Alligator mississippiensis: one gene and its partners. The protein of the gene in region 4 binds, or shares a complex with, the protein of the main gene of each other region. Links are inferred from orthologs where the notes say so. Each region holds a gene or a part of one and is shown on either strand. Other genes may lie near its edges.

What was found.
Region 1: FLCN (region 4) and LAMTOR3 share a complex: the UniProt entries of both Homo sapiens proteins name them as parts of the lysosomal folliculin complex. The link is inferred for Alligator mississippiensis from reciprocal best matches to the Homo sapiens genes FLCN and LAMTOR3.
Region 2: FLCN (region 4) and LAMTOR1 share a complex: the UniProt entries of both Homo sapiens proteins name them as parts of the lysosomal folliculin complex. The link is inferred for Alligator mississippiensis from reciprocal best matches to the Homo sapiens genes FLCN and LAMTOR1.
Region 3: FLCN (region 4) and LAMTOR5 share a complex: the UniProt entries of both Homo sapiens proteins name them as parts of the lysosomal folliculin complex. The link is inferred for Alligator mississippiensis from reciprocal best matches to the Homo sapiens genes FLCN and LAMTOR5.

The regions. Positions count from the first base shown.
Region 1 is NC_081825.1:161,212,278-161,220,175, reverse strand, and holds the start of LAMTOR3 (ragulator complex protein LAMTOR3), read left to right. Parts: upstream 1-4,893; 5' UTR 4,894-5,032; intron 5,033-5,038; exon of another isoform or gene 5,039-5,198; 5' UTR 5,199-5,238; coding exon of another isoform or gene 5,239-5,247; intron 5,248-5,537; coding exon of another isoform or gene 5,538-5,572; intron 5,573-5,737; exon of another isoform or gene 5,738-6,312; 5' UTR 6,313-7,623; coding exon 7,624-7,729; intron 7,730-7,898. UniProt on the Homo sapiens protein: As part of the Ragulator complex it is involved in amino acid sensing and activation of mTORC1, a signaling complex promoting cell growth in response to growth factors, energy levels, and amino acids.
Region 2 is NC_081824.1:477,691,789-477,699,279, reverse strand, and holds the start of LAMTOR1 (ragulator complex protein LAMTOR1), read left to right. Parts: upstream 1-4,481; 5' UTR 4,482-4,638; coding exon 4,639-4,680; intron 4,681-7,491. UniProt on the Homo sapiens protein: Key component of the Ragulator complex, a multiprotein complex involved in amino acid sensing and activation of mTORC1, a signaling complex promoting cell growth in response to growth factors, energy levels, and amino acids.
Region 3 is NC_081837.1:34,933,779-34,940,299, forward strand, and holds LAMTOR5 (ragulator complex protein LAMTOR5), read right to left. Parts: upstream 2,270-6,521; 5' UTR 2,199-2,269; coding exon 2,164-2,198; intron 2,082-2,163; coding exon 2,020-2,081; intron 1,594-2,019; coding exon 1,476-1,593; intron 709-1,475; coding exon 648-708; 3' UTR 514-647; downstream 1-513. UniProt on the Homo sapiens protein: As part of the Ragulator complex it is involved in amino acid sensing and activation of mTORC1, a signaling complex promoting cell growth in response to growth factors, energy levels, and amino acids.
Region 4 is NC_081836.1:54,402,742-54,410,273, forward strand, and holds the start of FLCN (folliculin), read right to left. Parts: upstream 3,002-7,532; 5' UTR 2,821-3,001; intron 1,911-2,820; 5' UTR 1,881-1,910; coding exon 1,632-1,880; intron 936-1,631; coding exon 789-935; intron 347-788; coding exon 125-346; intron 1-124. UniProt on the Homo sapiens protein: Multi-functional protein, involved in both the cellular response to amino acid availability and in the regulation of glycolysis.

The DNA of each region.
Region 1 (7,898 bases), on a different chromosome or scaffold from region 4:
TGAAGCTCAAAATGCTTCAGGAGCTTGAAAGTAATTTTAAGATTTAGCCCTTAGAGAGAACATGCAAGGAAAGATTTTCAGTAATAATCAGCGTTTGTGGCTGGGGGTGGGTGTTCAAAAAAGCTCAGTTCCACTAGGAACTTCAGGACAGTGATCAGATTGATAATGAGCTTTTAAATATGTTTATTAAAACTGATGAAGCATCTGATTTGGTGTCTTTGTGTCCTGAATTACCCTATCAATTAGGCAAGTGTTATGACAAGAGGCCTAGAGGGTTATGCAGAGTGTAATCAGATATGAAAGATGGCTTCATGAACAAAAATAAGCCTAACTTTCAAATCCAGTTAAATAAGTATAAGCCATGAATTAAGGTTTTGGGGTTTTTCAACACAGTAGAGTGGAAGAACAAGTAAACAATGATCTGTGACTAGTGGTAGCTACTTCAAAACTTATGTTGGTTTCTGCTTGTCACTATTAGAAGGCAGGAGGAAATAGATATGAAAAGCTTGGAATGGGGAGGAAAAAACAGCCTTTAAGTCTTCATACACATTTGGGTTTTTTGTGCGTTTAAGTGTCAGTGAGTACACCTACACATGCATTAATGCATGGTAATCTGTGCTACTGCGTAGTAACGCTGGCACACATCTTTTACATGAAGCTAATACGCAGTTAACTAATTGTATGGCACATTAACATGGTTTTCGCCGTGACACAGTAATGCACAGTAGAATTAATCTACTGCACTTCTAGCATCTTGTGTAGATACACCCAGTATGTAGGACCAGGCCTAATCTTTTAGATGATTTTGTAATCTTTCTGGAGCACTTCAGGCTTCCTCACTACTAAAATAGATTTTTTTTTCTAGATTATTTGATTTCTTCTAAGCATGTTAAAAAGAAATGTTCCTTATATTAAGGATTCTGTGAAGTGTGTTTTTTTTTAAAGCTTCTCTGCATGTATAATTTCCCTGATCAGTACATGATTTCTTTTCTCTTAATACCAAGGTTTGCTGATCTCGGGGCCAGTAGATTTGTGACTATTGTATGTGCACAGATGTATAGGTGTACATACTTTTATCCAGCTAATACCTCAAACTTGTGATTTGTTTAATATTGTACCTCTGTAAGTTTGCACAGAACAGGGCTTTCATTAGCACCAAGAAATTATCCATCCAACTTTGGTGGGTTCTGTTGTCACTGATCTTAAAAGGCTTATTTTTTCCAGTGAGTGAGTGACATTCTCATTACAACATTTGTTCTCAAAAGAAAATTATACCTGTTCATTCTGCACTGCAATCTGAAAGCTGACAGGGTAAAAAAGCAATTCTCAGCTTGAATAAAATATGAAATATCTGTAATGTTAAGCCATTTTCAAATCCATTTATGAACCTGCTGCTGGCACTGGCTCTTGCTCAGCTGAGACAATGATATTTTAAAAGCATTGCTTGGTTTAAAAATCTGAAGGAACTTGAATATTTGTTCTCTAGACTCTTGAAACAAGCACCACAGTAACTGAAAATAAATTGTGCTCAAGACCCCTCTAATAAATTTAATGGAAGCCTTGCAAAAGGACATGCAGTGAAATGAAGTTGGCATCTTAAAAAAGATCTTATATTATTTTGTCTAACTCAGTAGCGCAGTCAAGATTTAAAGGTTAGGTTTTAAAAAAATACTTGTCTGATTTCTAATATATCTAATGTAATATCAGACTTATATTAAAATAAAATTATTTTCAGTGTGAAACTGTGCTACCATCTTATCTTTTTACCTGTTAAAAACATCTCTGATGACTAACCATTTTAGTTTTGCTTCATGAAAAGTGGTTTGCATTTAAAAAGGAAGTAACGATGTTATGGTATTCTCAGCACCACAAACTAAAGGCTAAGAATAAAAAATGTTCAGCTTAATAATCAAGTAGTCCTTTTTAGGGTAAAATGTTATGGCTACTAGATAGATGTTTGATACTACCATTCCTTATGGATTATTTTATAACTTGAGACTTCTCTAAACAGGCATGTAATTACCTAAAGGATGACCACCTATTTGAAACAAAGATTCTTATTTGAGAACAACATAATAATGATAATTAATTAATTATTTATAGTTTAATTTTAATTTATAATAATTTATTTATAATAATATTGTATTATTCATAAATACAACATTCCAGTGTATTCCAATATATTTCCTTTGGCAAATGACTTGAAAAAGAAGAGTATTGGGTGTTCATGACATGCTAGTTTGTGGTTAGTTTAAAAGTAGTCAAGAGACAGAGAAAAAAACAAGACTTGTAGGGATGAATACAGAATTAAGGGCTCTACCTCTTGCAGACCTCAGGACTGTGTTCAGTGATTTATTTATATATGCACCATAAACTATTTCATGAAGTGAAATCCTGGCCCCATTGAAGTCAATGATGTACTACTATTGATTTCAGTGGGGCTAGTATTTCACCCCTAATTTTGCTCATAATTATTATGTACAGCTAAATCCAACTTTCAGTGAAACAATGTTAACAGTTACATCACAGTAGTTACCTACTAGCAGGTGGCGGCCAAACAATGTTATAAGTGAACATTATGTGACTTTAAATGAGTATGTTCTCTAATAGCTTAATGAGGTAATAAAGAAACAATGTTAACCAGGACAACATTAAGTGAGGAATACCTGTATTTGGTGCACATATCTAAACTAATGTTAAAAAAATACCAAAGTTATAATTGTATATGCTTCTGAAGAAGGAATTATAGCTGTCACTTTTGAATTAAAAAATTATGTACTAGAGTGACAGTACACAAATGTCCTTCTGTGTGCTGAGGTGGGAATTAGTTTTATACTTTACAATGAACTGAAGCTGTAGGGGTTTAGTATAATCCAACATGTCTGCTTAGCGTATGTAACTAACCAGATAGCCTATAAGCTCTTTCATATAAAAGTGAATACACAGCAGTTCATAATGGAAATGAGTTACACAAAAAAAAATCTAAAACCTAATTTTGTCATGTTGGGGGAAGGTTTGTTTATAATGATGACTACATATTTCAGTCCTGCAAAGGAGTAGATAACTGCAAATATCTGTAATTTAAAACAATAAATGACACTGAAATATAAACCTCATCTGGAAAATCTGCCTTACAGTTCAAAATTATTTTTAAATTTTGGGAGAAAAATGAAAAGGGCATTAAACAGCCACACTTGTCTTCTCTAATTAGATAATCTGATTTTCATCCTAATTGCTGTTTTTATTAATAAAGTAATTAGATTTCTTAAAACAAATGCTGTTTAGTTGAGTGGCATACATGATCACAAAAAAAACTGTCTGTGCCTATAGCTTTTACTGAATTTTATACAGTAGGTAGGAACTATGACAAAAGGAATGGGTTATGAACAGAGATCCTGGTTTTTTCTATTTAAAAATCCAAATCTCTCTGACTATAAACCCCAAAATCTGTGTTTTTACACAATTAAAATGAAATGACACTCTATAGGGATCAGTTGAACACCACATTTTGCTGATATATTTACTATTCTAAAGCAATTTGAAAGCCTACCAGCGCCTCAGTCATTATAATAAATTCTAAATACCTATATATTTTGGCATATGATTTTGTTTTTTTATTATGGAAAATCAGAACTCCCCCTCCCCCTTCACTCATCAGAACATGGGTCCAGTAGTGGTTGCCCGCCCCCTGCTGCTTTATGGCACTGAGCAGCCCTAATATGCCGCTGCCCCTCACTCCCAGCCTACAGCCCTCCTAGTGCCCCTCGCTCATGACCTGCTGCCCCCCACCCGCAGGCCCCAGCTCCCCCAAGTGTGTGAGGAAGGGGGTGGGTGTATGGGGAACAAAGTGCATGTGTGGGGAAGGGGGTGTATGGGCGTAGGCAACAGGTTGGAGGTAGGCACAAGCGATGTGGCGGGGAGTGGGGGTATGTCCGCCTTGGATTTCTGTGCCCACAACAGGGTGTGGGGTTGCAGCCTGGCTAGACCAGCTCCAAGTAGGATCCGCCTCTGCAGTACAGCAGGCAGGACCCAGTGTGGGAGGGAGCGCTGTGCTACCAGAGACCAAACAGGTGCAGCAGCATGGAGTTGGGCCTGGGCCTGCTGCTGGGTGGGCAAGGGGTGCCTCACCTTGGAGGTCATGGCAGCATACTGCTCTTCCACGCCGGGTCCTGCCCACTGGGCCATGGAGGTGGCTCCTGCTCATTTGGTCTGGCCTGGCTGCAGCCCTGACTGAGGGGGCATTTGAGAGCAGCCTTTAACTACCTGAAGAGGGTTCAAAAGAGGATGGAGCTGGACTGTTCTCAGGGGTGGCAGGTGACAGAACAAGGAGCAGTAGTCTCAAGCTGCAGCAAGGGAAGTTTAGGTTAGATATTAGGAAAAACTCTTACTAGGAGGCTAGTAAAACATGAGAACAGGTTACCCAGGGAGGCTGCAGACTCCATCCTGGGAGGTTTTTGAAACCCAGGCAGACAAAGCCCTGGCTGGGAGGATCCAGTCGGGGCTGGTCCTGCTCTGAGCTGGGGGTTGGACTAGATGACCTCCTGAGGTCCTTGTCAACCCTAATTATCTGTGATCCAACTCTGCGGTCTCGGCCCTACAACAGGTGACCTGACACCCTGCCACGGGACCTTCGAGCAGCAAACAGCAAAGGGCGCCCGCCCGGTCCCCCAGCCCCACGTTCCCTTCCCAGGGCGAGCCTCAGCCTACTTCCCAGGCAGCGGCCCCGGCCCCGGCCCCGGCCCCGCCCCCCTCCGTCGCGGTTGCCGTGGAGACGCGGCGCGCCGGCTTCGAGCCACGCCCAGGCGGTGCCGCCCCCGGCCCGGCGTGCTATGACTCCTCCCGCAGCCCGTAGCTTCCTCCCGGCGCGCGCAGCTCCCACCCCGTCCTCCCCGAAGTCGGAAGTGAGGCAGCGGCGGGCAACCGCTTCCGGGGCAGGGAGGTGGCGGCTCATGTGACTCGCTTCCGAAGAGGAAGCAGTAGAGTCGGGGCTGCTTTGCGCGAGCCCGGGACGAGCCGTCCGCCTGTGGCCAGGGTGAGGCGGGCTGGGGGCCATCCTTCCCCTTCCCCACAGAAGGGGTCTGGCGGGGGCTGGGCCCGACGGGCAAGCCTCCTCCTACCCCCGGGGCAGGCCTGGCCTGTGGCTCCGGCGGCGGTTCTGGGCCGCGGCTCGGTCGTGACCCGCGGCGCTTGTGTTGTAGAAGCAGCGGCCGCAGCACGGCGGAGCGGAGGCGCCGCAGCATGGCCGACGTGAGTGCGGGGGCAGGGGCCTGGGGGGCGCGGCCTCCCTCCCCAGCTGTCTGCACCGGGGAGAGGGGTGGTGGGGGAGGTCTCCCCGCGTGGCTGAGCTGGTGCCAGGAGTCCCCGCCTGGAGGTGAAGCAGATTTGCTCTCGGGGGCTGCCCCCCCAGAAGAAGGGATGAGGAACCTCCCCTCCTCACCAGGAAACACCCCTTCTTAAGTAGTTTTACACTTGGGGCACAGGCGTGTGCTGGCCAGGACCCTGCAGCTGAACTGTGCCATGCTTTTCTCTCTTTCTAGGACCTGAAAAGGTTCCTGTACAAAAAGCTACCAAGGTAACACACGTGCATCATGTGGCCTCCTGGTCTGTGGATGGGGGAGGTCCCGTGGCCTTTGGGGGGGTGGTGCATGTGGTGTTACATGGGGGGAGTGGGCACCACCTGGCCTCCAGGTGGGGGCAGCAGCACAGCATCCCAGGAATTTGACGGGTGCAGCATGTTCTCTTCTGTGGGGGGAGGGAGGCTGGGGTGTTACATGTCCTCTGGAGGTGTGGCAGGGTGTCGTGTGTCATCTAGGGGCATGGTGGGCAGTCATGTGACTTCCTCAGAATTTCCTGCGGTGGATCATCCCTGGTGCTGCTCTGTGAAGAGTGTGTGCTGCTATTTAATTTGAGTCACTGTTCTGCCTGCAGCAGAGCTCACTGTATTGTCTGTGCTGTCAGGATGCTTCAAGAGCCACTGGGTGTTCTGTAAAGTGCTGCAGTACCCCACGATGGAGTCATTCTAACAGAGTGTCTTTGGGCACAAAAGCACATGTGTTTACTCAGTTCAGTACTTAAATAGACCCTGCCAGCTCAAAATGTAGTACTCTACCCACAAGACGCCCACATCCTTGAAGTAGGCTGAGGTATAGGGCTGGAAGGGACCTCCAGAGGCCATCTAGTCCAACCCCCTGCATGAGGCAGGATCATCCCTATCTCAGCCACCCCATGCAATCCATTATCTGAATTCTACATGAGACTACCATCAACCTTAACACAACACAGCTCAAACCTGCTTTTCATTGTGCGCTACAGGGAAACAGTATGCTAGAACGGATAACTTACTGAACTCAAGGGAAACGTCTGTTTTGTTTCTTTAAGGATCGGCGGTTCTTGGTAACTTCTGTTTCTCATAACTGCAAGTAGCTAGCCTAAGGTATTGATTGATATCCCTAAGTAGATGTGCTCTGTGACTCTAAATGCAGTGAAGCCTGCACTAAGGGTCATCTCCCATAGTAATCCTCTTCTAAAGCTGAAAGGCCCACATGAGGGGTCTTGTTTTTTTTGGTACAGTTACCTTCGTACTTCTAAGATGTGCATAAACACAGCACGATGTGAATTTTGCAGGTCTGTTTGATTAAGCAAGGCTTTAAGTGATAGCAGTGGGAATGTGGTGACATCCTTTTTCCTTGCAGTTTACTCACACTTGCTTTTGTGTACTTTGTGGCAGGCCAGTAGGGGGCACTCCTGCACTGAGCCACCCACCTCACTGCGCCTGACCACCTACCACCCTTCAAATGCCTCCCTGGGGATGCCTCACATCTGGCTGACCCCCTTCCTGGAGCATATCCGCTAGCTTGGCATTTACCCCCGCCACTGCCCAGGGTTGCGTACACACACCGTGTAGTCCTTGAGGGTACTCAACCCACTGTAAAAGCTTGGGGTGCTTCCTTTAGCCTGAAGCACAAAAGCAGCCTCCCTTAGTCAGCCGGACCAAGGGGGCACAAAGGCATGCCTCTCCCAACAAGTCCACCAGACTTAATACAGTGAAGAACTTTATTGGTTACAAAGGGGAGGCTTGGGGGAGGGTGCAGGATAGAGAAATACTACAAAATAACTCTTAAGTAAACAGTGGCAAGGTCGCTTTTGTAACACAAGTGCGTGATCTACAGGCTATATATTTAGTTGGGTTCCGAGTGGTTTACTCTCAAGTATCATCCAGAGGCTGATAGAGCGTTGCTTTGGAGGCAGACAGTTTGTAGTGTGTCCACATGATGAGAGAGCTGCAGATGTTCAGCTGCTCTGTGTCTTCATCATGGCTACAACCCCTCCTCCTGGGCAGTCTTGGCATATATAGGCCTTTTGACATCATGTACCTGATCCAGTGAAGGCCGTCACTTGGTGGCTCCCAGCCAGCCAACTTGAAGTGCATCACTGGTTACGGAGCAGAGGGGCAGGGCTCCTACCTCCACCTCTAGTCATGAGGTCCTTGCTAAAACAATAGCAAGCTTAAGCCCCCACCCTGGTACCTGTCCCCAGGCACATAAGCAGAGTTGGTAGATGGGTAAGGGGACAATGCTGAGGAAAAAAAAGAACTGGTGAAAGGAAGACGGGGAGGAGGCTGGGATGGAAATTCTCCCCAATGCTCATGTTCTTTTTCTCTCTTTTTACAGTGTTGAAGGTCTTCATGCTATTGTAGTCTCAGACAGAGATGGTGTGCCTGTTATCAAAGGTAATTCACAACTTCTAATGGTTGTGTAGGGTTTTTTTGGAGTAGTGGTTTTTTGTTTTCTTAAGAAAAATAAGGCTGGGGGCTAAGAGGGAGCGCTAGATTAAATGATCCTGCCTTTCCGGAGGTCTGTGTCAAAACCAGTGATTCTCAGCTGGGGAGTTGATTCTTT
Region 2 (7,491 bases), on a different chromosome or scaffold from region 4:
AGAAAAGTTGGAAGAGCCTGTTTACCTCAAAGTTATTTGGCACCAACAGCGCCAGGCATTCGATACCCTCTAATCAAATGCATCTCTCCCCTGTAGCCTCCCCTGCTTGCCCAATCCCGCCCCCACCTGCCAGTCACCTCAGTCCTAGCCCTGAGTCCCCGCTGCTATTTCAGTATAGCCCCTGCCTAGGTGCATCCTCAGTGCTCCTGCACCAGCCCAGCCCCTGCTTGGAGCCCCAGGGGAGGAGATTCCCCCGTCCCCAGGCAGTTTGTCTCAGTGCCCTGTGGCCCCAATGGGTGGGAAGTCCTTCCTGAGCCCTGCTCTCAACAAACCCATTGCCTCAGACCCTGCCCTGTTCAGCTGGGGGCACTGCCAGTCTCTTTTGCTTTCCAGCAGCCTCTGACCCCTGCTCCGTCTCCTGTCCTCCAAACCACACCTCATCCTCATTCTTTTTTTATATAGCGGCACTGCAGCCCCTTTAGCATCATCATTGCTCGCCTCTGGATCCCCTCCAGCTTCTCTACGTCCTTCTTAAAACGTCGCCCCCCAGGCTGGACACAGTGCATCCTTTCCAGCGGTCACTGCCCTGCATGTGGCTATTTGGTTCGTCTGTGTTGAATTTCATGTTGTCTATCACCCAAGTCTCTCATGCCAACCCTGTTTCACAGCAGCATTGGGAGGTGGACAAGCATCAAGCAGCAGAAAGGCGGTCAATACACTAAAGAGATTAATTTTACCCATCATTTAACCAGAGCCAGGGTCTGCAAAGAGGTCCAGACCCATGCATTCAGCCTCCGGCCCTTCAGCAGGTGAAAGAAGCATTGCTATGTTTTATCCTTGCCCTCGTGACCTGGTACTCACTGGACTTCAGAGGAAATTGCTTTGGGGAAGAAAGGGAAAGTTACAGGACTCTCCAGGCATGAATCAGAGCAGGACAGTCGTGTAATTAGCCAGTGACTTGAGCCAAAAGCTTCAATTACACGCTGCTCTCAGTGTGGTCATGGCAGGGCTGGAATTGCAGGCGCATGGGACCTTCCTGGGATCTTGGCTGATTCCCCCACCATGACTGAGAGAAGACCGAGGGGGATTGAATAGCAGCCTCCAACTCCCTGCAGGGGGTTGCAAAGAGGATGGAGCTGCACTATTCTCAGTGGGGGCACATGACAGGACAAGGAGCAACGGGCTCAGGCTGCAGCAAGGGAAGTTGAGGTTGGATATTAAGGAAAATGTTCTCATGGGGAGGGTACTAAAGCACTGGAACAGGCTCCCCAGAGCGGTGGTAGAGTCTCCATCCTTGGAGGTTTTGAAGACCCAGCTTGACAGGGGGTTGGACTAGATGTGACCTCCTGAGGTCCCTTCCAACCTGAATTTTCTATGAGTTCTTGACTGGGCTGGGAAATGATGTAGCCTTCTAGCTACAGCTCCTGATGGTCCGGGGAACAAGGGGCTCCCTAGTCCAGGGGAGTGCTCTGCAGGGCATTTTCACTGCCTTGTCCAGGGCTGTTTAGACAGGCCTGCCCCGAGACAGGGTTCCTGGGGCTGGAGGTAACTGCCTCAGTGCAGCGGTGCCCAAACAGGCATCTAGGGAAGAGACCCTGGTTTGGAACAGGGACAAAATCTCCCCAGTTAAGACAGACACACTTTGGTTCCTAGGGGCTTCCCACCACAACCCTTGAGCAGGCATTTCTGCAAGCTACTGCCAGACAGAAAATCCCCCTTCCTTTTTGGCCTTCACCTAGGAGCGTCCAAAGGGCAGAGGAATGAGGCTTCTGTAGCTGGGAACTGCTCTAGCTCTGGCACAGAAGCACCATGTGTCCTTGACAGTGTCCCTTGAGACTGCACTGTCAAACGTTGGCAGCCGCAGTCCCTCTTGCCTTCCCTGCGGCAGGGTTGGGTGCGATGCCTGGTGCTGTGTCCGGTGACTGTTGTTTTGCTCAGAGGTTGGACAGTGAATTTGCCTGGGATGGTTTGGACAGGGCTGATGCTACCTCAGGCAGGGGGTTGGACCAGACGTGAGGTCTCTTCCAGCCCCACTGCTCTCCCAGGGGTCTGTGATCTGTCCAGTTTGCGCCCAGCCGGCAATCTTGAGAGCCAGGATGGAAAACAGCTCCCTCTCCTGTCAGTATTTCAGCTCTGCAAGGCTAATGAGAGTCACAGCTTATTATGGGGAACATCAAAATCATGGTTTGGAGCATTAGCAGAATTTGCAGGGATTACCAGGGATTAGCTGACAGGGGTCACAACGTGAATGCTTCTGCTATGAGGCTGGAACCCCCCCCCCCCAAACCAAAAAAATGGACGTTCCAGCAGCTGAGTTCTTGGCACCGGGGGGCTGACGAACCATGGCAAAGGTGGCAATGTCTCAACCGCCTGCGTACCAGAGTTGGATACTCCAAGGAACTAACGAAGAAGTGAGGATATGCCATTGGGTCAACCCCACCTGTGACTGCAGCACAGAGCCTCAGACTATGCAACACATGCTGCAATGCCTGCTGCTTGAAGGCACGTGTAAAGTAAGAGATCCCGCAAAGTAGAAAAAATGAGCAGAAGCATGCGTAACAAAAAAAACCCGGTCAAATGTGGTGTAGTGACATGAAGAGAAGAAAAAGATGGGGAACTTCAGCTCCCTAGAGAATGGCATGACAGTGCATGAGAAAGGGTCAGGTGCTGGTCATCTCTGTACAGAAAACGGCTGCTGCCTCAGGCAACTGTGGTGATAAATTCCTATCTGCAAAGCATCCAACTGACTGGCTGCAAGTCCCGTTTCCCATCGGCTCGGAGATCCCAGGCCTCTATTCAGCAAGCTAACGGAGAGCAGTTACTGCCTCGGCACGCACAAAGAGGTCTGCTAAAAGCTCTCGAAGGCAGGACTAGAGCGTGCTCTCTCAGGATACACACGTGTAGGTGTGCATGATGCATTGATCTGTGATGCAAGCTCATGCAGAGAGCAACAATGCCCAGACACTTCCAGTAGCTCCAAAGGACCAGGATGCGGTTCCTGGGGATGATCACGGACTCGATTTTCTCTCTCTCACCAGGGAAATATGCAAGAGCAGGCAGGGCCTCTCCGGTTAGCGGCTGGAAATAGCAAGCAGGAGATGTGGCCCATGTGGGAGGCCGAAGAGGAACAAGCTCTGTGGCTCACAGGACGGAGAGAAGGGTAAAACTGAAATCCACTCTGCTTCTCCTGCCTCGGAGCCTCACAGCCTCGGTGGAGAACAGACCTTTTACAAGGCAAGGAAGGAAGCACTAGGATGAGCTGGGGTTAGGGGAAGTGAAAGAGGGAAACAGCCACACCAGCCTGCCCTCTGCTTGGAAAGGAGCAGCAAGGAGCAGAGGAGCCGGACCTCCAGGCCACTGTAAATAAAGCTCAGCCCGAGGCTGCCTGCGCTCCATTTACCACGTGCAGCAGTTGTGTGTCCTGTTGATCGAATGGGGACAGTCAGGTGCATCACCCAAATTTCCCTTCCTGCTCTGGAGACACAGGAGGTTCCTCAGCACAGAGGTGTGCCAGCTCCAGACCTGCCCCCCACAGCTGGGGTTTGGCTTCGTTAAACACAGGAATCCCTGCATCGGCTCACGTACAACACACGCCATTTCCCCCAAAAAGCAGGGGCTGGGAATAGGGGTGCACGTTGTAGGCAAAGAAATATGGCAATAGCAGTTTCAGTCACTGAAGCGTCCACGTGGCACAAGCCACCCCATCCACCGAGAGCGGAAGAACGAACCGGGTTGGGCTCCTTAGCTGCTGCGACTCAGTGACTTACAACAGGAAAGACCTTTTTTTGTCTTCATTCACGTCATGTGCAGGGGAGTACAGTAAAAAAAGAAAAAAACCCACGCTAACCATTGCATTTAACCGCTGCATGTAGTGCAGGCGCTCCCCAGCAGGTTTCGCAAGGTGCCCCTGCCACTCTCTGGGTGGGGGAAACCAATCCAGGACACCACGGTCCCGGGTGCATCCAGAGAAGCAAGTGCAAGTCTCCCTCTCAGACACCTGCACCCCAAGGGTGGTGGGTGGGGGGGGGTTGCAAAGAGGACAGAGTTGGGCTGCGCTCAGCAGGGCCAGCTGGCAGGACAAGGGGCAATGGGCACAGGCTGCAGCAAGGAAAGTTGAGGCTGGAAAAACTCCCTCACTTAGGAGTCAAACAGAAGAAAGAGTCTCCACCCTTGGAGGCGCTGAAGCCCCAGTTAACCCAGACACCCTGTCTGAAAGCACCCCACGCAGCCCCAGGCTCTTCTATAGCCCTGCCCCCTATCACGTGACCCAAGGGACGCGCGGCCGGTTCCCCCCCCCCGCCGGGCTCCGGCCTCCCTCGCCACGTGACCCCCAGCGGAGCGCGCCGATTGGCCCCCCTCTCTCTGTCTCTCTCTCTCTCTCTCTCTCTCTCTCTCGCTCTCTCTCCCCCTCCCCGCCGGTCACGTGCCGGGGGAGCGGCAGGCGGGTCACGTGCCCGGAAGCGGCGGAGTGGGGCCGGGGGGAGTGGCCGCCTCTTTTCCCCCCCCCCCACTTCACCCACCCCATCTCCTCCCTCCCGCTTGTTGTTGGAGCGAGGGCTCATGTGACCGGGGCGGCCGGGCCCAGCCGGACAGCGCCCCCCGCCCCCGCCTCCCGGCCCGGCCCGGCTCGGCCCGGCCATGGGGTGCTGCTACAGCAGCGAGAACGAGGCCTCCGACCAGGTGGGGGAGGGGTCCCTGAAGGGGGAGGGGAGGGTTTGGGTGGGAGACCCTCGGATGGGAGGGGCCTAGAGGGGTCCCTGAAGGGGGGGGGATGGGTAGGCCCTTGGGGAGGGGGGGCTTGAGGCCTCAAGGGAGGGACTTGGCACGGGGAGGGGGCGCGGGGCAGGAGGCTGCTCGCCCCGGGGGGGGGGGGGGGGGCGAGGTTGGGAGCAGCGCTGCGGGCTTGGGGGGGAGGGTGCCCCCGCGTGCGTGGTGGGCTGGTGCGTGGGCGGAGGGGGGTGGGGCTCTCAGTCAGGGCTTGCCACCCTGCGGGGTGACCTAGGAGGCGGGGCGGGGCCGGGGCCATGGGGTGGGTCTGCCCTGACCCTGGTGGAGACGGAGGCTTTTCCCTTCGGAAGGGGGCGGGTTTCCTCTGCGGCTGCTGTGGGCAAGCGAAGGCAGCACCTGGTCGGTCGGGTCCCTTCCTCCCCCGGTCGCTGCGTTACAGGCTGCGGGGCGAGCGGGGGGAGCCTCCGCTGCTGGGTCGTTTCTGGTGCCAGAAAATGAGGGAGCAGGCCGCCTCTTTCCACTGCTTGCCCTCCGCGCTGCTGGTCGGGGTGCTCGGCTTGGGTTCACCAGGGCTCGGAGGCCTCGTGCCTACAGTGGCACGGAGCTGGGCCCCACCGCCGCTCGTCCCTGGCCCTTTCCTTGTCGGCGCGCTGGTTCGAACCCAGCACGAGTTGCCAGTAGTGCCGGTGTGACGGCAGATTCGTAGCTGTGCAAGAAGTTTAGGGGCCTCCTTTAAATTCCCGGTAAGCTGGCGTCGGCTTTGCCAAACCCTTCAGCAGAGCTGACGCTAATTAAATCCCCTGGTTGGCAGCCTCGACAGAGACCGGCTTGAGCCTTGGAGACGGTGTTCCCTTTGCACGCTTACAGGTGGCTCTCGCAGAGCTGCCTGGGGTTGGCTGGCAGTGCGTGGTGGGTTTTGGGAGTGGGATGGGTAACCCTGTGGACAAAATCTGGTTCAGCTGGTCCTTCCTATTGGAACAAAGCGGCTGCAAAAGTGAGATGGGAGGACCGCAGACAGCATCTTCCTTCGCTCTGTGGGAGTTATGTTTTATCCTGGTCTTCTGGCCTTTTCCCAAATGAATGAGCTCAGGACCTCTCTGAATGTAAAATAAGTTTTAAGTGTGGCCACCAGTTAGTGGGAATCAGATATTTGTAAGGAGCGTTGGTTTGAGTTCAACATGCACCGGAAGGACCGCTGCGGTTCTGGAACGTGCTTGCTTGCGTTCGGTGACGGCCTGCACATCCCGGTCCAGATAGACTTCTAGGTGCAAGCGTGGGGCAGAGATTTGGACCTTGTTCTTGGTAGATTAGCCAGCAACTGATGTAGGGAAACCAGCCAAATGCAGGATACCCCATCTCCTCCAAGCCTTGCACACAGTGGTATTTACCTGGCTTCAGGGGGTAAGAAGCTGCCCCCTGTGTGAAGTCAGTGCATGCATGTTGGACAGACAGGAGCTGCTGCTTAAATCTGTCCCAGGAAGACCCCAGATTGCGTCTCATAGCACCTAATCGACAGCTATCCAGTGACATTGGAGATAGTGGGATTGCCAGAAGGATGGAGATGGTAATAATATTCTAGGGTTAATTAATGACTGACTTGGCAGCAAGGCTGCTCCTCAATCAGAGCTGTGTTTCCTTTGCTGAGAGCTTGAAAGGACTCTTGTTTTTGAGGCTCTGGTGATGTGGTCTGGCTTTGAATGGGGCACACCCGAGTTGCAACAGGAGTGAAGCGGGGTGGAGGTGTATAGGCAAACCCAGTGCAAGGGCTTGTCTTGACTAGGTCACGATCCAGCTGGCTTTACCAAGCACCTGGTGACTGAAACTGGCCCCTTCTGCTGGTCTGGTGACAGTTGAGCCATCCCAAGGAGGTACTGGAAACCCAGTGCTTAGTCAGTGGTGGAACAGCTTGCTCAAGCTTGCTACTGGAAAGTCTCGCTCTGCATTTGTCTCTAAACCTTCCTTAATTTCCTTACTTCAGCTGTGCAGAATCACCATGGAGACCAACCGGGCCAGACACTTATTTGCCCTTTGTCCGGAGAGTTTAGTTGATTGCCTAGACTGCCTGAGCCTGCTTTGCTGGAGCTGATGGCCCTGATACCTCTCTGAATTCCTCCCCTCCTAGGCCTGCCCGTACACACATTTGAGGGCGTTCATGTGTAGTTGGTGCAGGACACACCCTTGCAAGCTCTCATTATTCAGCTGTGCAAACCCAAGCTTGGCCCCTTCTTCCCTAGCAGGAAAGGCAGAACTTTCACCCATACAGGATCCGGACCTGCCTTTTCAGTCCTTCCGCTGCGTGGATGTTCCTGGCACTGCCTGGGCCTAGACGCTGCCTCCCCAGAGCCCCTCGGACTGGAGCAGATGGGGGTTGGGTTCAGGGTGGCTTGTCACAGCCTTGGGAGCGGATGCGTGTGCATATCGGCATGGGTCCGTGTTCTGCACTTTTCCACCCCTCAAGTATAGGCATAAAACACTGTCCCGTGCTCTTATAGTAAGTGACGAGGCCCAGGCAGTGAAACATGGGGAGGAAGCAGCTGAGAGGCGTGAGCTCTCCCTTCTCCAGGGTGGGCTTCTCTCTGGTGCCTGGGGCCCATGATATGACACCAGCTGGGCCTGTTTCCTGCCTGGGCAGCACGGGCCCTACGGAAGTCTCCGGCTGTTGTGGCCCCCTCCAAAATGGGAAGTAACCAAGGGCTCATCTGCAGTCAGCTGCTGCCACAGGGAAGCCACTAGACTGCAAGGCAGTTGCACAACTTCAGCTGG
Region 3 (6,521 bases), on a different chromosome or scaffold from region 4:
AGTTAAACTTTAATCCAAGATGTTTCCAATACAACAAAGCTGTCTGCCTTTAACTAGACAAGATTAAAGGTTTCCTGTAAAGGGACTTGAAGAATGGGGCATGTGCTTTTTTGACTTTGGTGTCAAAAGGCAGCCTGAATGAGTTTGATTTCCCCGCCACCCCCTAAGGTACAGAAAACAGAACTTATCTTCCCAAAAAGTTGAGGGACTGCTAATAAGCAGGAAGTAACCTTCCCTGAAAGGAAGGAATAGTGACTCCTAAGCTTCTGTCTTTCTCTAAAGTGTTAGATAGTGGTGTACTTCCACTTCACCTACCAACTGAAGTGTTGAACTCACTGCATGTGTTCTCACTCATTGGATAAATGAATAAATGATGTAAGGCCACATACTATACCTTTTCATTACAGAAGCAAAATAAGTGAAACCTCATTTTACACTTGACAGTACATGTCCTGTAATGTGCTGGAAATTAAAGATGCTGACCGATATACAGTAGCAGTCTAAACACACAGGAAAGTTACCAAGCATTTAATAGTTGGCCCACGTGTAGTTTTACAAGCACATGCTATATTACAGAGGGAGGTAGGAGTCCAACAAGCAGAAGTTGTTGCAAGGGTGTCGAAACAACCAAGCAGACTGGTGAAAGGTCAAGATGCCAGTTTGTGCACTGCTACAGTGATGCCATCGTGCTTCTTGATCATGATGTTCCTGAAACAGCAAATATTTAAACAGTTAGAATTTTCCAAGACTAGTAGCTCATCTCAAAACCAGTGCTAGAAATGCCTTTAGGTTTAGCATATGCCGTGGCGTGTCAGAGGCAAGATTACACATAAGATCTAATGAAAGAAATACTTGGCTTGCCATCTTTACTAATTACATCATTGTAGGATACATAACATTTCCAAGAGTCTCCTTGCAATTCAAAGTTTGGAAGTACCTTGGAGTGTTTAGGTGGGCTGTGAAGGCAAGTCTGTCTACCTAACTTCCTTTGTAAAAATTGATTATAAACAGGAACATAAGCACCATAGCATTGCTTCGGTAGTCATAAATACAATGCAAAAGTGACACTAGCTGGTCATTCTAACCACTTCCAAAAAGCCAGCAGTACAGTTAGAAACAGGAATGGGGGGTGCATCTCAAATGAGCATCCAGTGATTGTAAGGACACATGGGTCTCTCGCAGTCTCAGAAGATGCTCATTTGAGACCCCCCCCCCCCCCCCCAATTCCTAACAAACAATCCCTGGATAAACTCAAGAGAAAGGACAGGAACAGTCTCTCGATGTTCCCTTGGCGCAGGCCCTGCAGGAGGTGCCTCTCGCCCTGTACCTCCTTCCAAGCGGCGACACACAAAACTTAAAAGCCACCTGGAGATGAAGGAGGCAGTTCTAAGATCCCAGTCCCAGAAGCGTTCGAGCAAACCAAGGAGGAAAAATAAAAAAAAAACAGCAACAAGGATGGACACCCAGACACTCACCCATGATCCGATTCCAGACACACCACAGGGATATCAGTGGGGTCTGAAGTTAACTTGGCTGCCTGCTGAGCCAGAACTGAGATCACCCCTGCGTGTTCATCAGAAAGCGTCCCGCGACCTGCAGGGCACGAGAGAGATCTGTATCCAAGTTCACCAAAACAAGTGTCTCGACAGCAATCGCCAATCACACCTGCTTTGTACTTCAGCCGAATGTCTTCCCGAACTCGGCCGTCTTCCGCAACATCTCAAGGACACCCAAAATGATCTGAGAGCTGCTTAAAGAAGTGCTGGCCAACGCGCCCACGCTCCCCCTCCCCCACCTGAGTTGGGTCTGAAGATACTTGTGCTTTAGTAGGGTCAGATCTCCTGGGAGATGCAGGTGCTCGGGCTAGAAGCAGGATGCCAAACGGAGCGAGCCCGCGGGGCTGGTGCTGGGTCTGGGGCGGGGTTTCCCTGCCCAGCACGGGGCTGGCGGGCAGGGCAAGCATCTGCCCCCTGGCACGAGCCAGGCGCCTTATGGAAACGGGGGGGGGGGGGTACTCACAGCCCAGGTTCAGCCCTTGCGAGTCCGTGCACAGCACGCCCACGACGGACGGGTTCTTCATCCTGCGGGGCAAAGCCACAGCTCGGTCACTCGCCCGGCCCCGACCCGCCTCGCCCCCGGCCCCGGCCCCGGCCCCGCACGCACGTGTCCTCCAGGTGCTGCTCCAGGGCCCCCTCCATGGCGCCACAGGCTCGGTCACTTCCGCCCCGCTCAGCTGCCGCCCGTCACGTGATAAGCGCTGGAGCTGCCGGACGGGTGCTGCGGAGCCTCAAGATTCCCCGTAACGCGAAAGGTGTAGAGGGCGGGATTTGCCAGCCGTGCTGCTGGAACTGAGGCTGGAGCGTGGGAAATGGAGTCCAGCGGACGTGCATGGAGTCGAATGAGGGTGCATTGAGGCAGACCAGTGAGGGGTGCAGTGAATCCAGTGAGGGGTGCACTGAGAGGTGTACTGAGTCCAGAGAGCTGCGCCTCCCCTCCAGGGCTGGGGGTGCCAGGGTTGGGGAGCTGGGGGCGGGGAGCAGCTGACCCCGCTCTGAGGAAGAGGAGCCCAAAAGCTCCGCGCGGCCTGGCTGCCTTCATCCAGGGGCGAAGCCTGTGTAGGCGCCGACTCCGTGGGTGCTCTGGGGCAAAAGCACCCACTGAAAAATATGAGTGGGTGCTCAGCACCCAAGAGCCACAGCCATTTCCTGCTTGCCGATGTTAAAAAGGACCCCAGCCCCCCACGCTTTACCGAAAGAGGTAGCATGTTACTTCAACCCGGCTCTGCAGCATCAGTAAAGACTGAGCGCTTCAGCAGGGCGTTTTGACACTTGTAGCTAAAGCCAATTCAATCAGCTATTAGATACAAAAAGCGCCACTAAAGTGCCCAGTCTTCATCGATGTTGCAGAGCCGGGTTGAAGTAATGCTGCGTTGCCTCTTCTGGGCTCAGCACAGGAACGCGCCGAGTTTAAAGTGAATTACCATTTTGTTTTGCTATGGCTGCAAGCGTCCACCGGCAAAACCCAAAGTTGGTGCCTATGCAGGGCCATCAAACTGCACCCAGGTTGCCGCCCAGGCTGTGGCCTTGATTCACAGCTGAATCAGAGCCGTGACTCCTCACTTCCTTGAGTCCTTGTTCTGCATCCTAGGATAAGCTGCTGTACTGCAATGGGGGGAGGGGGGGCAGGGGACTGTGTTAGACAACAGGAAGTTTTCTTTCTCCTGGTCACTGCTTTGCACCAGGGAATAACACATGAGTGCTTTGCTTTCCTCTGCAGCAGTGGCTCTGAACACTTGCTTGGCCCTGGAAAAGCAACCGCCGTTGTCCAAGCTGCCAGTGCCACCTTTACATCCCCACCCAACTCCCCTTTAGATCCCATGTAAGTCGTCTCCCCAGGACATGGCAGCTATTTGTTACTGTCTACTTTTTAATTAGCTGTGTGACAGAGGAATAGGCACAGTACAGAAGGGACGTGGCTGTGGCCCTTCCTGTATTCCCCACTGGAGGGCACTAAATCCACATCCTGCACCAGCACATTGTGCATCATTTGCACAATATCCACAGCTGGCATGTAGGCGATCATATCCAGTGCGCAGCCCAGCCTGACTTTCAGCCCAAACACCAGTGCTCCTGTGGCTGGAAGTGTGCACCCAGAGAAATCCAGTCCATGAAGACCTTTCCAAGCACAGCAGGCTGGCAGTGGGCAGCACCAACACAAGCATGTCCAAGCTAAGAGCAGTTTCCACGCCATGCGCAGATTCATGGCTGCTCCAGAAGGGAGTAGCACATGTGTGCTGTTTGCAGGGCAAGCCATCTAAGCCCTCAGCCAGCCAGAAGTAGCTCAGAAATGACTGGACTCTGAGATCCCTCAGCAGAAAAAGATGAGATGAGGGATGTGCCTTCTGAGTCTCTCCCCCATGCCAATCCTCTGTTATCCTACATACTGTGTCATCACTCAGTGACACTGCTGTAAGGTGGGCGTAAAATGCTGCAAGGTCATGTTTTACGTTTGCTGGCGTTGATGACGCGAGTTATGTGGTGATGGTGAATCAGATCCAGAATCTATAGAGCTGGGCTTAGGTGCTTTATTGCATTACATCCTTCCTGCTGACATAGCTTTACGTAGCTGCCGGGGAAGTTGCCAGCATAACTGTCACCTAAGAGGTGTGATCATTTCACGCTCCCTACGCAACGTGGCTTTGAATAGCTGCAGTGCTAAGCAGACCTGAAGCTGTACAGGTGTAGATCCGAACTGAGACCCTTGCTGCTTGTTGTTCTGCTAATAATACATATGTGAAGGCTTGGAATGAGGTGTGTTAAAGAAACCCCCCAACAGGTTCGCATGAAAAACTCATGCGTGATGAATTGCCATGACTTGTTAGGTCTCCCGAGCATGGACATGAACAGGAACACACACACACACACACACTCTATCCTTTTCAGAAACCTTTCGGTGGGTGGCTAAATAAATCATATTCAGGGTTATTAGGTTGGTGCTGTTGCTTGTGCTTATAGAGGCTTCAGCTCCTGAAAGATGCAGATGAGCCACAAGGGCTTCCTCGCATGCTTCCCTGCAACTCAGGGGCAGGCAATTATCTTGGGCAGAGGGCCGCTTACTGAGTTTTGGCAAGCCATCGAGGGCCACATGACAGCCCAGGGCAGATTAATATTAATTTTCTAAATTTTTTTAGGGGCCCCGCGGGTTGGATAGAATGGCCTGGCAGGCTGCATCCGGCCCCCAGGCCACATTTTGCCCACCCCTGCTGTAACTCTTACTCGCCCAGCACAGCATCTCGCTCCATGTGAAGCCTGTTCAAATCGATGGGCCACATCCCCCCCTGCACTGCTTCAAGTGCCCGCATCTGGAAGGCCATTCAGGGTATATCTACATTGGAGTCAAGGGGTGACTGTAGCTCACATACATACATGAGCAGATGTGTATGTGTATATATATATATATATATATATATATATATATATATATATGTGTGTGTGTGTGTGTGTGTGTGTGTGTATACATATATGTGTATATATATATATATACAGTACACATACACATATCTGAACTAGCTTTTACCTAGCTGGTCAGGGTGCTGCTAACAGGTTACTCACAGCAGAACAGCAGAGATTCATTCAGGATCCTGGGTAAATACTCAGGCAGCTAGTCTCTGCTGAGCTCCATGCTGCCGAGGCCACACTATTTTCATCACCCGAGGCAGCTAACTCACCCCCTTTATGCTGAATTATTTCTCAGTGCACAAAACTAATGCAGGCCTGCTGATTTGAGTGGTTCGTCGAGGGGATTGTGCATCCGAACTCTTGGGTTCTCCTCCCTGTTCCAGAACAGGGTGTGTTGGGTCATCAGAGCCAGTTACTTCTGCCCTGTGCTTTCCCCATCTGTAAAGTGAGGATAATGATGGCCATCTCTTTTGTAAAATGCCTTGAAATCTATGGGAGGAAAGTCCCCTGCGAGAGCAAGGTGTCTTTATTATTATGACTGGCTCTAGACTCAGAGCTTATTCCAGGCTCTGCTGCTGATTTACCATGTAGCATTAAATCTGCTGTTTTACCCCTCCATGCCTCAGTTTCCCCCCAGCTCTGAAAGAAGCATGGCTAATTGACCTTGTAAAGTGCTTTGAGATTAATGGACAAGAGGCAGAGACCTGGCTGCAACCTGTCTCTTCCTGCATAGATGACAGGCACACCAGAGCACAGTGAGGTTTGGCCTCCTCTTGCAGCAGGTAGTTGGTTACAAGCATTAAAGGATGTGGGGGGAGAAGGCAGGGAAGAGGCAGGACGTGAAGTGTTTGATTCCCCCTTTGGGCAAGAAACCAGGGCCTTGAATCCAAAGACAGAAGTAATATGGTCAAATCCAGGGAAAAGCCAGTGTGGCCTGGATTTGGGCAACATCTTATCATGCAGACCCTGGGCCCAGCAGAGAGGTCCCAGTGCTTTGAAAGGGATACTACCCTCTCCCTTGGTGAGATGAAGGATGTGACACTCCAGCACCCTTCTTCCACGCCCCCTGCACAGCCCCAGCTGGTCAGTCCCAGGTTCCCTATGTAACAATTTGAATTGCATGTCAGGTCCTGTATATTAAATCAAATGGGACATCAATTCTGGGGCATCAGCACTCGCTCCCTGATGAGAAAGTCAGAAGCAAGGAGACTAATGTCCCTCTTGATATTTCGCACTGCCAGCAGGGAGGCGAGCTGAGTATAATCCCATCTGTCAGAGCAGCACAGGGCCTGATTGGGAGGCAGAGTGAATTACCTGGAGAGAGGGAAGTTTGTCATTCTGTGGATGCGGAGATATGAAACAGAGACAAAGGTCCTCCATCACGCCAGAGAGCTGCAGCAGGGCACATGGCATGCCTGACCACGCAGAATGGGTCCCTGAGCCCCCAGGATCCCTTGGTGCACATGCTTGTACACAGCAAGGACTCACTGCACGCACCTACTCCATCATTGCCTCACAGACCTACACACCTGCGCACAACAGGTGCTCATACGCCATACACAA
Region 4 (7,532 bases):
CCTCCTGCAACTCCAACTGTACATCCTGCATTTTGCTTCCTCTTCCAAATCAATGCATATGTATCTATTCTGCCCACCCCTCTTGCACTCACTGCTATTAGAATTCTCTCCAGAGCAGATTCACCTTGAGTGCTTTGCCCTGAAGCTCATCAATGATGCCTCGGATTTTTCCCAGCAGAAAAGGCCAGGAGTTGATGAGGTAGATCCGATCCATCATTATTGTAATGATGCTGTACCAGCGCTGAAAGCCACGAGCCAGGCTGTCTTTGATGAAGAACGTGTGGCTGAACACAAAGCCATGCTGTTCATCGCCAAAGAAGATGGGACCTTCACGTCCTGGGCAGACCTGGAAGGGAGAGACTGGTTTAAACACATCATTTAACTGAAACAGCATCATGTCCCCCCCAACCCTCTCTCTCAAAGCTTGATAAGTTTGAAGAGCATAAGGTGAAGACACAAACACTCAAGTTAACGGAGGTTCTCCCACATACAGACGAAATGAGGAAAGTTAAAGATCCATTCAGAAGAGTTCAGAAATACTTAAAGCAAATTAACTTAATCACTAACAGCCTTTTTGTGTCTCATGAACAGGCGCAAACTAACACTTTCTTCTTTTCCAGATCAATTAAAAAAAGAATTCCTGCCAATAACTGGCTCAAAGTGGTTTTGCTTTCCCTTCTACCCCCGTCCCCATCTGTTACAAGGGTGAGAGCAGCAGTGTAGTGCCTTACGCTAAAAGGCACAGAAGTCCCTGAACAGATTTTCTTTCTGTTTCCCACATCACTTACCTCGCAACTCAGGCTGCGAACACAGGCCTGGCGCACAATGCTGAAGAGCTGTGGATGGTTTGGGTGCTGGTGGCTGACATATTTGATTGAGGTCTCTTTGTCGTGGCTGACATATCCAGGGTGTCCTGCTGCAAGGGAGCGGCAACCCTGAACACAAAAAACCACCAAGTTAGGACACAACCATCTACCTAACGTAACCAGGTACTTCTGTTACTGCAGTACCTGAACTCTTCTCTCCACCTTTTCTGCCTCACTACATCCCCTTTGCTTATCCTTATTTGATAGATGGGAACCAAGAGAGTCAGGGGCTAAGGGATTTGCCCATAACCAGAAAGAAAGTCTGTGACAGTCTCCCAACTAGTATCCTGCCATTTGAAACATCCTTCCTACAGTGCTCTTTTCACTCATGCACAGAGCCACGTATTTTATGTTGCGTATGCAACTTCAAATTCACCTAATGATGGAAGTAGCTGCGACTCCAGTGACTTAACATCTGTCAGTGATACCCGAGAGAAACCAACACCTAGCAACAAGTCCTCACGAAAGGTATCAAGAAGACTTAAGCAGAAGAGCACGTGCACAGAAACATCAGTGCTGCTAACTACACTTCCACCGCTACTTTACCTGGGTGTAGGACTTACTTTCTGCTCTACATCTCTATGAAGGCACTGGCAAACAACTGTGATACTTTAACTAGAAACTGGCTTCTTTCCAATGGAGGTGAAATAGTTGTTACCCATTACAGTTTAAAAGGGTGTGGGAACTATTTGTTTTCCTCTTCAATTGTAATGCCTTTTATCTAAGCCAAGGACACACTGTGTACAGACACGGGCACACATTTACCTCACACATGTCTGACTTCTTTGGCCCAGGACTGCTGGAGTCAGCACTGGCACCCTCCGCCGGGCTGTGCGACCGGATCCTACTGCTCATCTGAATGCCACCTTCCTCCTCCTCGGCCTGCTCGCTCTGCCCAGGACTGTCTCCATTCCCCGCGCCTTGAGGAAGGGGCGAATGCAAAACTTCTGTGCAAAACAGGGTGCGAGGGCCGTGGAGCTCGCAGAAATGACAAAGGGCAACGATAGCATTCATTGCGATAGCTTGGCTTGCCCGTCAGGCCTCCTGCAAATGAGGAAGGAAACAGCGATGTCAGCATAAGGAACAGAGTGAAACACCCTGCGCCCTGTTTGCCACTAGCCCCGTTCTTCCCCCAGCGGGAAGCCTGGAGACCGGCTCGGCTCCTGTCTCCTGAGGCCGTGCACAGCTACAAGGCCACAAATCATACTTCTGGCCGTGCTATGTGTCTCCGCACTAAGTGGATCCGTCAGTTTAGTGCAGGGCACGGGGCTGACCCAGCCCGTGCGACTCCCCAGCCACCCTGCAGCACACCTGATTAAATCAGCTTAATTGCCCATTTGGCACCTGGCTTCTCCCCAGGACAGGGGGGCACCTGCCTCCCCCAGCTGGGACCCGCTGTGGGAGCGCTTGTGGCCGAGCCGGGACCTGACCTCCCCCCAAGGAGCACTGGCCTGGCCAGCCCCACAGCGGGGTCTGGTGACCCCCAGCACCAGCACGTCTGTCCCCACAGAGCGAGCACCCAAGTCCCCCGCTGTGACCGCATTGAATCCCCCCCCCGTGGGGGCAGCAGCCCCTGCCCCTCGCTGGGCCCTCCCGTACCCCAGGGCCCAATGCGGGGTCCCTGCCCCCCCCCAGCAGGCCTATGGGCAGACCCCCCATCACAGGGGTCACCCCCCAACATGGATGCCCCCCCAAACAACCCCCCAGCAGTGACGTGACTCCCCCTGCACTGGTGTGACCCCCATGTGAGGGGTCCCCGTGCAGTGAGGTAACCTCATGTGAGGAGTCCTGCCCCCCCCGCAGTGACGTAACCCCCCTGTGGGGGTCCTGCCCCCCCCGCAATGATGCAGCCCCCCGTGTGGGGGATCCTGACCGCCCGCAGTGACGTGCCCCCCCCGTGCCCCGCCCCCAGCAGGGACCAGGCTCCCCGCGCCCCGGGGTCGCGACCACTCACCCGGCGCCTCCTGGTCCCCCCGCCCGGCCGGTCCCGTGGCTCAGTCCGCCTGACACAGCCTGGCAGGGCGGCCCATACCACCTGACGGGGGGGGGGAAGTGCCCGGCTGCCCAAGCCGTGCGGCTCGCGCCCGTTGAGGAGCGCGGCGGGCAGCGAGGAGGCGATACGAACACAACGGCCGCCCCGTCCCCCACCGTCACCTTCTCCGCTCGTCTTGCCAACCCACCATACCCCCCCCGTCTGTTTGTATGGTACAACCCGAGGCTATCCCACTCCACAGGCTGAGGACGGAACCATTTCTTCGCGGGGGGTTGGGAGCGTTGGCGTGGCAAGGCCGCCTGCGGCGGGTCGCACGCGAGGGTGCAGCGGCGGAGCCCATTGACGATAGTAGGGAGAGGGGTGGGAACAACTGTCCTGCTCTGCCTGATAAGGTGCAACCGCCCCCCCCCCCCCAAGCCCCGCGGTGACAGGAGAGATGGTGCGGCCCGTCAGGCTCAGTCATGTGACATATACAAGGCTGGGGGCGTGGCCTGCCGAGCTGGGTGGAGCCACGTGCAGCAGAGACCCCAGCAGTCGGGAGCGGGAGATAGTGCATTTACTGGAATGCAAGACGAGGTCGTCCCCCCCCCCCCCTTTTATATTCACATACAAGGAAACCTCATGCAGTGCAGCCTAGCATTGCCTTTCCTCTTGCCTGTGGGCAGCAAACCAAAACTTGATCACCACCCCAAGTGGGGTCACAACCCCAGCAGACAGGGTCTTGGGGTGCAGGGGAAAAGTTCAGGACACAGCCTCTACCCTGAGGAACTGGCTAGGAGCAACCACCTTAAGCTGCAGCAGGGGCACATTGAGGTTGGAGATGAGAAGAAACATTTGAGCTAGGAAGGTGGCCAAGGCCTGGACGGGGCGGAGAGGAAGTGTAGAGTCTCCGTCCTCAGAAGTTTCCAAGAGCAGGTTGGACAGGTGCTTGGGTAGGATGGTTTAGCCAGGGATGATCCTGTGTTGGCGAGGTGCTGGACTAGATGTGACCTGCTCCAGCCTGCCTTCCCTATGGTTCTACAAGATCTGCACCTTATGGACTAACTAAGACAGAAGGAAAGCACAAGCTTCTGTGAACACGAGGTCGGTGCTCAAGCGAGGTAATCTCTGAAATAAAGATGCAGAGAAGTAGACACATTAAAAAGAGCTCCCTGTACCTTTTCCTTTAGTCTTGGCATCTCTCTCTGCACGTGCGCTTTCTGTCCTAAAGGACAAATGTCCAAAATCCTTCCCCCACACATCCCCTCTTAAATACCAGGCACGCTGATTTTTTTTTTCTTGCTCAAGATACCAGCATGCAGGGTGGTCCAAGGGTAATTGGTGCCCCTAGGTGAACTGTGCACCCACCATTTCCAGTACAGCGGTGGGGTGGGTGTGCTGGCCACGAGAGAGGGGCACTAGCAGCACCGGGGGCAGAGGTGATGCAAGGTAGAGCTGTAGCCAGACAGGGCTGTTATTTAGAATGATGTTCCCATTATTTTGTTCTGCATATAATTTTGGTGCCCCCCCCCCCAATTTGGCGCCCTAGACAACTGCCTAATTCACCTAATGGTTGGACTGGCCCTGCCAGCGCGTCTTGTCTGTCTTTAGCACTAAGCAGAGATCAGAAAAATCCCATCCTTGCTTGTGCATGGACTACAGCCCTCCTCATTACTTGAACTTTTAATCTTACAGCACACAAATCTCTATCAGCACAAAACTTGATCAGCATGAAGAAACACTGAACAGGCCAGCTCTCCTCCCTTCCTCCACAGCTCAATTTGTAATTGTGCTTCCCACAGCAAGTTTACTTGTTGCAGAATATTTAGTGTTTTATCACCTTGATTTAGACCTATAACCTAACCTCCAGCAGTAATAGTAATGGAGGTAGATTCACCAAAAGCTTGTTTAGAGGGGAAACAAAAAAATAATCCCTATATTGGACATCTAAACAGAGCAATGGTCTATCAACGGCTGTTGGTGAAGTCTGATCCATATTGTTTCAAGCCAATAGCTTGTTAAATCCCTGCTAAATAAAACATGGCTAGACTTCACAATTCACAGTGGCTGTCCTGAAACATGATATTTAAAGATGTGCTTTGACACAGGAAGCTGTGCCAAGAACTACACTCCCATTAAAAAAATACACTGCATGTTCAAGTATTGGGACCACCACAGTACAGATTCACAAGACTTTTCTCTGACACAAGCACACAGTATTTCTTCTTGTACTAGAGGTAATTGCTAGACCCTATCAGAACTGAGATTTCTGTATTGTCCCATCTCTATTTCCAAAGTAGGTCTAAGAACCCTCCAAAAACAGATATACTTGTACAAATCAACCAGCCAAACAGCACTTTCCTTTTCTGCTAGAGATGCCTCGTGAGCTTCAAAGCTTAACCAGTATCTGTTGAAGTGCTTGGTGGCAAAGTGCAAAACATTACCACATGCACCAGCCTGAAAAGTCTCATTCCAACCCCTGAGAATTACAATTCCTTGATAGAGTAAAAATGACTTAATAAGGGGGGGGGGGGGAAGGAGAGGGTTACTTTACAAAAAAATCCCCATAAAGTAGTAATAAAACCAGTCTGGAAAATCTAGCATCTCCTTCTTCCAGGCCAGCCAGAGTGTATTTAAAACAAACTAAGAAGAGTTAACTTGTTTGTGATCTTTATTTTTCCAACAGTACATTTAAACAACTTCTCAGGACTAACCTCCTCAGCCAATTTTGCCATGCAGGGAGAAAAAAAAAATAGAGTCATTTCCTAAATTGTACAGTTAACCTAGGACAACACACAGAACGGGTCACAATCGCCGTGTCGTGAAGGGAGAGGAATGGCGAGAGGAGCAATTTTAGTCAGGCAGCAGCACCTGGAGCAATGCAACAATATTGTGTGCGCGAAGCTCAGTAAAGGAATTGCTCAGTGGCACTCCTCTGTGGCAGGAGCATTACAAAAATTGTTCACAGAACAGTGGGGAGCCATTTAATTTGTTCAGCATTACACTCCCTGTTAAACATCTGAACTGAAGCCCCACCCCGTGGCCAACTACCATCATTGCAAGGCAGGCCACATCTTTTTTTCCTCCAAGTTAAAATGCAGTTAACAACTAGATGCAAAGTGTAGGTTAGGGAGTGGGCAGTTTAACTGCTTAGAGAACGGGGAAGAGGGGAAAAAATGCTCAGCATTAACAAGTGTAAACTGATCTGATCCACCTCTTCTGTCTCGTCTCGGGCTAAAAACAGACTTGCCCCTTCTCTAGAAAAAAGCCTTTTGTAATGGGATCCTAGTCCCACACACCCATTGTCCCACTTCAAGTACCCGTGAAGTACCAAGATAAGATGTGCTAATGCTGTTTCCCAGGACAATCGCAGCCCATTCATTCCAAGGACAAGCTAAAGGGATGTGCCAGTCAGGTCAGAACTACCTCAAACACAATGTCTGTTTTTAGCCTTGCAGTAAATGACTGATCCGTGGTAAATTAAATGCTCTTTCATTTAGGGTAAACTGCCCCAGTTCAACTTTAGCCTAGTGCAGGATGAACAGAAAGCTAGAGCAGTCAGACTGAATCACAGTCAAGTCTCTGCTTCCTCCTCAGAACACTTATTGCTCACCTATCCACACCCTTATTTGAGAGTGTGCACGTATCTAATATTTTGCGAGCACCTTGAGGACGTGCAAGACCTGAAGATGCGGCCACAGGATTTTGTGTATGTTAAAATAAGACAAGTCTTCTATCCAGTGTTCTTAAGCAGTGTGTCTTTTCTTACCACAGGGAAGCATTCACACTAAATCCAAAATACTGAAGCATCCTCAAAGCTTCTCAGTTCCCCATCAGGATGTGAATGGTCCTGCACCTTCTAAAAGCAATTCAGATGAAAACAATGCAAAGACTCAGTTTGCAACAATTTCCAAGACCTTAATGATATCAGAACTGAAACACTGCTTGTCTTACCCCAGTGCATCTTGGTGCCTTACGGTTCATGTCAAACCGAACACTTGGAGGTGGCATTATCATTTTCAAAGCTGTTTTACCCCAGCTATGAATGTGAGAGGAAGAGGTGTGGCCAAATTCTCAACTGGCTTTGAAATGTTTAAAACTCACATTTCTAACACAGAAATAAAAAAATATTGTGCTATGAAGAACTATGCAACTTGAAATATTACATAATACTTGTACAACATTCGTTTATAATATGGGGCTTACTTTATGCAACTCTGAAGGTGTGATACCGCTACCTTTTATCAACTGCATATAATAAACGCTAGTTTGCTTCTTGCGGTATTATAGTCTGCTGGAGTTATTTGAGACAAGCCCACAGAACAATAACAGGACCTGCTTACAGTATAGTTCAGCTGCCACTTACAAGATCAAAATAAACTTTCTACCGTTAGAACTTCAACAAAATACTTTGGGTACATTTACTTCCCACTTAAATGATTCCTCTTTGATTGAGGGAACATTTTGACATATTTGTATAAGTAGCAGTTTGTGGTTAGACATTTTCTATATTCCTTGGGTGGTTACTGTACCTAATTTCACAGGCTTTCACAACAACTCCTCACTCAAGCCTGCAGTGCCATCAATCTTACACTTGACACATTTCCATGGCGCCAGGGTAGAAAACTGGATAGCACATTCAGCATTTAATCCTGCAGTGGTTTTAATAAGGCATTTAAAAACATATCACCAAT